Linked DNA regions of Macaca mulatta. Each later gene encodes a partner of the first gene's protein in a complex. Links are inferred from orthologs where the notes say so. Each region holds a gene or a part of one and is shown in the gene's direction. Other genes may lie near its edges.

What was found. Proteins that work in one complex are often made in the same cells at the same time.
Region 2: the proteins of SCAP (region 1) and INSIG2 are in contact, whole or in part, in a cryo-EM structure (PDB 7ETW), measured with the Homo sapiens proteins. The link is inferred for Macaca mulatta from reciprocal best matches to the Homo sapiens genes SCAP and INSIG2. Residues at the interface, in NP_036367.2 of Homo sapiens: Pro200, Ser206, Val282, Ala283, Glu284, Ile286, Pro287, Thr290, Ile294, Ala297, Tyr298, Phe301, Lys305, Tyr351, Val354, Val355, Glu359, Thr409, Leu410, Val411, Ser638, Tyr639; in NP_001308258.1 of Homo sapiens: Phe41, Val45, Leu48, Leu49, Ile51, Val55, Leu57, Phe58, Pro59, Val62, Ser65, Ile66, Glu104, Trp105, Ser106, Met109, Arg110, Val112, Ala113, Val114, Val116, Gly117, His120, Gln132.

Annotation. Positions count from the first base shown.
Region 1 is NC_133407.1:110,783,496-110,786,995, reverse strand, and holds part of SCAP (sterol regulatory element-binding protein cleavage-activating protein), read left to right. Parts: intron 1-137; exon of another isoform or gene 138-171; coding exon 172-392; intron 393-575; coding exon 576-681; intron 682-1,658; coding exon 1,659-1,831; intron 1,832-2,202; coding exon 2,203-2,329; intron 2,330-3,500. UniProt on the Homo sapiens protein: Escort protein required for cholesterol as well as lipid homeostasis.
Region 2 is NC_133417.1:19,426,372-19,430,376, reverse strand, and holds the start of INSIG2 (insulin-induced gene 2 protein), read left to right. Parts: upstream 1-1,205; 5' UTR 1,206-1,241; intron 1,242-4,005. UniProt on the Homo sapiens protein: Oxysterol-binding protein that mediates feedback control of cholesterol synthesis by controlling both endoplasmic reticulum to Golgi transport of SCAP and degradation of HMGCR.

The DNA of each region.
Region 1 (3,500 bases):
TATTGGCCACCTGGAAGTACTTTCCCCTGCTGCCCTAGTGGTCAGGCTCTTTGGCGTTACTAGAGAGCAAATATGGGGTATTGAAGAACAGACAGAGGACGTCCCCTGAGTACCGCAGATCTGCCCTGTGGTGGCAGACACAGCAGGTTCCTTGTCCTGTCTCCTGTGCAGCTCTGGGACCAGGAGCTTGGAGGAGTTGTGTCTGCAAGTGACCGACCTGCTGCCAGGCCTCAGGAAGCTCAGGGACCTACTCCCTGAGCATGGATGCCTGCTGCTGTCCCCTGGGAATTTCTGGCAGAATGACCGGGAACGCTTCCATGCTGATCCTGACATCATTGGGACCATCCACCAGCACGAGCCTAAAACCCTGCAGACTTCAGCCACACTCAAAGGTAGCCGCAGTACAAGTTCCCTTCAGACCTGCAAGGGTGCCCATTGGTCACTGTCTTTTTGATGTGTACTTAGGCAGATAAGGGTTTACCCTTTGTTCCCAGGGTGGGGGTGAAAAAGGGGTCCTTGGTGGCTCTGCGGTAGCTGTCATTTCTTTGTCAGTACCTGCTGGTTTCTACTTGCAGACTTGTTGTTTGGTGTTCCCGGGAAGTACAGCGGGGTGAGCCTCTACACCAGGAAGAGGATGGTCTCCTACACCATCACCCTGGTCTTCCAGCGCTACCATGCCAAGTAAGATTGACAGCACCCTGGGCTCTTGATTGGTCTGCTGGGTGACATGAGGCTTTGAGTAGTCCCTCTTCTGGTTAGAGTGTTCTGAATGCCCCGCTGGAAACTTGGAGAGTTTCCAGGCCTCCTGTTGAAATGTTTACATCCCTTACACTAGATGATACTGTCTACCACATTTTAATGGGGATGACCTGACAGCTGGTTAAGCATAGGGGACTAAGGCAGGGCTGGCAGTCTCAGTGTCCTGGTGCCTCCTCTGGTCTCTCTTGAGCCTAGGGCAGGCATCCCCAGCTGGTTGCTAGTGAGCCCTGTATGGCCTGAGTCCTTCCCAGTGAGGCACTGCAGGCACCTCCCCAACTGGCAACGGCACTCGAGGTTCTTCTGATCGCCTCTCCTGGGTCTTTGGTAATCAAGAGTGTTGGAGGCCAGGCGTGGGGGCACACGCCTGTAATCCCAGACGCTGGGAGGCTGAGACGGGCGGATCACAAGGTCAGGAGATCGAGACCATCCTGGCTAACACAGTGAAACGCCGTCTCTACTAAAAATACAAAAAATTAGTTGGGCGAGGTGGCGGGCGCTTGTAGTCCCAGCTACTCCGGAGGCTGAGGCAGGAGAATGGCGTGAACCCGGGAGGCAGAGCTTGCAGTGAGCCCTGATCTCGCCACTGCACTCCAGCCTGGGCGACAGAGCGAGACTCTGTCTCAAAAAATAAAATAGGAAAATAAATAAAAAGTGAGTGTAGAGTAGGTCCGGAAAGGGAAGCTGAGAAAGGAGCAGGAGGGGTTCCTGAGAAAACTTTGCCCCTCTGTGATTTTCCCAGCACCCCTGGAGACTACAGAGAAGCCCAGGCACCAGAGAGGAGTTCCCTTCCAACACAGGGGCAGGAGGGAGGTCCTAATGGACTCTCTGTCCAAGGATTGTCTTTGTCCCCGGAACCAAGGGCAACACTTCCATCTACCCCCACCCTACTCCTTGACCAGGTTCCTGGGCAGCCTGCGTGCCCGCCTGATGCTTCTGCACCCCAGCCCCAACTGCAGCCTTCGGGCGGAGAGCCTGGTCCACGTGCACTTCAAGGAGGAGATTGGTGTCGCTGAGCTCATCCCCCTTGTGACCACCTACATCATCTTGTTTGCCTACATCTACTTCTCCACGCGTAGGTTCATGGCAGGGAGACCGGGAGCTTTCTCCAAGCTAAACGGGCATTTCCATGTCACCTGCTTCCCTGCCTCTGGAGGTGGCTTGGGGTAGAGAGATAGAACACACCTGCTGGTCGTCAGAGCTAGGGCTTTATCCCCCAGCAGGGTCTTAGGAGCTTGGGTGGGTCCGGGGCTCTTCTCACTTTCAGCCCCTTCCTGGGTTAGGGTTCCTAAAAGGTGTACTATGTCCATGACACTGGGAAGTACTTGTGCCTATCCCTTTCCTTTGGTGAAACCAGGAGCTTTCCCTTCCTCAACTGTCAGGGCAACCTACTCCCGAGAGCCCCTGTGGGAGGGGCTGCCCTGATGTGCCCTCTCTGCCCTCCAGGGAAGATCGACATGGTCAAGTCCAAGTGGGGGCTGGCCCTGGCCGCCGTGGTCACAGTGCTCAGCTCGCTGCTCATGTCTGTGGGACTCTGCACACTTTTCGGCCTGACGCCCACCCTCAATGGCGGGTAGGTCCCCAGCAGGCTCCACTGGGCCACAGGGTGGGCTCAGGCCAGAGAGCCTTGCACTTCTGGGTACTTGGCCTTCCCTGGACTGGGTGTTTGCTGTGACCTCACGTCTTCACATTGTCGTTTTTGACATTTAAGAGGTATATTTTCTTCCTCTTCTTTGTCTGGCTTGTATTCATACTAGTGTTTGTATATAGCATATCTAGCTATAGTGAGTGTCCATAGGTACAGAAGTGTGTATTTGTGGGCTGGGTGTGTATATATGGGGTGTGTGTTGGTATGTGTGTTTGTGTATACATGAGTATGTATTGCATGTGTGTAGTCGGATTTGTGCATCTGTGTTTATATATTCTATATACACACACCGCACACACACTGCAGCTTGATGGCTTAAGCCACTGGAGGTGTGAGATAGAGAACATTTCTTTTTTTTCGTAATTAGAACATTTAAATGCCTAATGAAATAGGTCATTTTAGAGGAAGCTCTTTGGAAGATATGAGCACACTGTAATTTGTTGCCTTTTCCACCGATGTTTACTTTCCCCTTGCCGCTCCTCTCTGAACCTTAGTCTGGAAGCCCTTCCCTTGGCTTGTCCTCAGGCTTTGATCTTGGCTCTGGATAGGCCCACCTGCCTGTCTGTTAATGGTTATTAATGGATTATGGATTGGCCTGTCCCCCACCTTGGACCGTCAGGCTGGTCGTATGAAAATCGACGTCGTGTTTTGTTTCTGGTAGTTTCCTTGCTCTTAGATACCTGCTCCCTTTCCTGAGCCTGATGGTGTTAAACACCGCCCTCCCATACCGTCTGCCGTACCCTCTACAGGGGCCCTCCCTTCCTTCGGCTCCAAAGCAGAGGTCCCGCAAGTTATAACTCAGCTGGCGTTCCTCGCACATAGACTTTCGTAGGTTCTGCCGCGGGGAGTGTGGGACGGTGGGCTCAGATAGCTGGTAGAGCTTTCTGTAGGAACAGTTGTTCTCCGCACACAGCTTCTCAACAAAGGTGAGTGGGCCTTCAGGGTGGTTTCATCTCCTTGCGTATTTAGCTGTGATGGATCCACCCAGAGTTACTGGCGTGGGTTTTGGCAGCAGTCATTGTCTTTAGCCAGCAGTCCTCCTGGGAAGGGCAGGGAGAAGTGTGGTCTAGCAGTGGCGCTGCACAGCTCTCCCTGA
Region 2 (4,005 bases), on another chromosome or scaffold:
GTGGGCAAATCACGAGGTCAGGAGTTTGAGACCAGCGTGGCCAATATGGTGAAACCCCATCTCTACTAAAAATACAAAAAGTAGGCAGGCGTGGAGGCACGCACCTGTAGTCCCAGCTACTGGGGAGGCTAAGGCAGAAGAATCACTTGAACCCGGGAGGCAGAGGTTGCAGTGAGCCGAGATCATGCCAGGGCACTCCAGGCTGGGTGATGGGGCGAGACTCCGTCTTAAATAAATAAATAAATAAAAATTCAGAATAGGGAAGCAACTCCTCCTTATGACGAGTACCTTTCGGCACTTATATGGGCTTGCTTTTGCACTGACGGCACCACTTTCATTCAAAAAAAAGAAGTTCGCTTGCACAATCTCCAAAGACCCGTTTGGCTTGGTTTCATGTTCTAAAAGTAAGGTTTTAGATTAAGTGAAAAATAATACTTCTGACACATAATTATAAGGTTTTTAAATTTTCTCTATGTTGGTGTAAACTTATGAAGTCCTTCCTATGAAAACTGTCCCCCAAATCACGTTACTTGGTCGTCCTCGAGGAACGATTTTAAATGAAAAGCACATAAAGTGCTGTAGCATGGAGACGAGAGACAAATTACTATGCTCTTCTCCCAAATTAAGTTATGACTTACTAGGGGAGGAAAAGGAGCAGTATAAAGCCCGGTCCTCTGCGGGAAGTACTCGGAGGCCTGCCCCGGAGCGCGCTCCTCTCGGCTACGAGATGAGGGGCACGCAGACGGCCGCGCCTCTCGGTGAGTGTGCGTGTATCAGTGCATGATTCCTTTACTCCGCCCACAGGGTCTGGGCATCCGTCATTACCCACGGCTGCCTGGTCAGCAAACAACAGCTGATCCGACAGCCGCCAGTCACCTCGACGGTCCACGCCCACCGCTAGCCTCCAGTCTCCCGCAGACCGGAAGCCCCTTTGCCCCGGCTCGCAGGTCCACCCTTTATTGACAGCAGGAACCGGAAGCTCTTTTGCCCCGATCGCCTGCGCGCGGCCTCGTTGGCCGCACAGGCGCAGTGGAGCTCGGGCGGAGTTGTGGGAGTGGAGGAGGAAGAGGCGGTGGGGAGTACGGGGGCTGGTCCCAGAAGATGGCGGAGGCGGGGGTGAGTAGGGGGTCTCCCGGCGAAACGCGGGTGACGTGGTGCTGAGGAGAGCGGCCTGAGGAGGAGGGTGGCCCTCGGGAAGAAGAACTACTTGTGTTGTTGCAGCCTGGGAACCCTGGTGGCAGGTGCGGGGAGCCAGGACCACTGATGGGCCTGCAGGGCAAGAGGCTCCGCTTACCTGAGAGGGGTCCGCGAGGTCCAGAAGGGGACTGCGGGATCGGGGAGGGGTCATAGGAGGCGTCCAGGCTCCTCGGGCAGTGGATGAGTGTCTGAGCGGGAAGAAGTCTGGAGGACGGCGGGAAGGGCGAGCCAGAGGTCTGATGAGGTGGAGGTCAGCGAGCTGTCAAGCATAGAGCTGCCAGGACTTGGGGGCTTGTAACCTGGGAGAGAAGACTCAGGTTTGGGCCGGGGTTGGATCCCAAGAAGACAGGTTATAATCCACTCAAAAGATAGGGCATTGGGTTGAGGAGTAGGACTCTGGCATTTTGGACTGGAATTGGTTACCTATGGAATAGGTGTTTCGGTAAAGCCAAAGAATTCTTGCCAGGGCCTGGAAGTGGATTTGATGATAGTTACTGGATTTTACGGTTGTTTAGTGGGGATTGGCAATATGGAGAAGGAAAGCAGTGTGGATTATGGGAGTGGGCGCGAGCAATGGTGCTAACACCGTGTCCAGTTAACGTTGGAAAAAGTTGTTAAAAGTATGATATTAGCTAGATACTCTAGGAAAATATACCATGAAGAACTTGCTGTTTTGTAGGATTGATGAAGAACTGCTTTAAAAACGAATGGTTAGGCTTGGCAGCTGGGCCGCTGAAACTGTTTGGTATCAGTATTGCGGTGAAGCTGAGGACTGCAGGGGAATGCGTGCTCCAGTCCTGGTGCAGAAAAAATAAAAGCAGCCAAACAGTAGCTAGATGGTGTTTTGTAACTTTTGGGTTTGGCCCTGATAGTGAACCACTGAATGAAGATAGATGAAGGGAATGCTACTAATGGGGACCCCAAAGAAAACGGAAATTAGACGTGTACCCTTCCTGTTTTCTCTTGCTCAGTACTGTGTTTTATCATTGTGTTATGTCACAGTTATCGGTTCATGTCTGCTATCCAGTGACCAGGCTGTGAATCATGTACCTTTGGGAAAGAGGTTGATTCTGTTTAACTGACAACTGTTGCTTTTGCAGATGGTCACAGGGAAAGGAAAGGATAAAATGCAGTTCAGTAGTTTAAAGACAGTTTTCTTAGTTCAGAAACTTAAAACGATGGAGTAACTTTTTTAGGCACTGAGATATGACATTTAAAAGCTGTAAGGGAATGTGAATGCAGCTAGCCTACTGGTTTCTGTGTTTGGGTTTTAATGTTGAGAGGAAAGAGTTGCAGTGTTTCTAAGGCAAATATTTCTTTTCTTCCTAGAAATTTTTAACGTCTCTAGCCCAGGATACATGTAGATATGTTTTTATTTAGGGAGAATTAAACTGTTTCATTGATTTAAGTATGTTTTTTTCTAATGTTAGTGCTTATCCTATTTCAAGAATGCTATTCTAATTAAGAGAGCATATGATGAAAAATATTTGAGGTAGTAATTCCACTTTATTGTTTAGTAGCTTATGTGACCTAAGCACCCGAAGAGACAGGGTTATCTGAGGGAGTAAAAATATTTCTTTTACTGCTAATCATTGGAAAAAGAATGGTCTTGTCATTTGGTTTTAGGGGGTGTTGCAGTTGTTGCAATGCAACAGGTTCTTAAGGTTACTGGAATATTTTGTATGTGTGTTTGTTTTCAAACGCTTGTTGCCTCTAAGTTGTTTCAGTGGCCAACATGAACTTTGATTTTTATTCACAAAGCTCATAATCACTTATAACTCTTTTTTTAACCTAAAAGTAATAATATCAATCCATTAGTAGGCAGCCATACACCTGGATTAATGTTTTTCCAGTATTGATGATTCATCACTGATCTATGCAAATTATTTGAACTATTTTTCTTTCTGTTTAGTATTGTACTTTCCAGAAATTTTAGGCCAGGGCTCAAAGTAGAATTTTTCAAGTTTAGTGGAAAGTTTTTCTTTGTGAATTGTTGAAAACATTATTTTGGTATTTGGTAGTTTACCAACATGATTTTAAAAACGGTTTCTTGTGTGGCACTTAAATTGTTTTGTACCATGTTTGTGAATGGAAGCAATGTGGTGAAGCAGAAAGAACTCTAGACATGGGGTCAGAGTGGGTGGGCCTAGTCCTGGTGCTACCTGGTAACAGTTCTGTGATCTTAGAAAGTTACTTAACCTATTTTATTTCGTAATATGGGAACTAACAGCACCTGCCTATTTACCAGGGTTGTTTTCAAGAATCTATGGAGATACTGTCCTTTAAACAGTACCTTTATACCAGAGACTTCTTCCCTGGTCAGCAAATTATTTGTCAAGTAATCTAAAGTTTTCAAATATAGATTTTTAAAAAAATTTTGGAACCTCAAGTTTATCATTAATGTAAGACTAATATTTAAAGATATAGAACCACTTTGAAGAAAATGGTATCAGTACATAATCAGAAAAACAAACTTCAAAATAAACGAAGGGAGCTTACTTTCCCTTGAAAATAATCCACTCCTCTAGTGTGCAACTGGTATCATAAACATCCTTTTAAAGGAATTTCATTGTTGCATGGTAGGGGGTGAAATGGTTTTGTGGAAGCCTCTATCCCTTTGATGAGTCTGGTCATTTTCGGGCATTCACTATGCATGTTTGTGGTAATAAGAACTGATGGTACTGTCTTAATCTTGTTACTCCAGTTGACCACTTTGCATGTCATTGGCCTTGCAAGTAGAGTGAGAGAACTGTTAGATTACTGATTCTTTACTTTGGATCATGGACTTTTTTGAGTACTTGATAATAA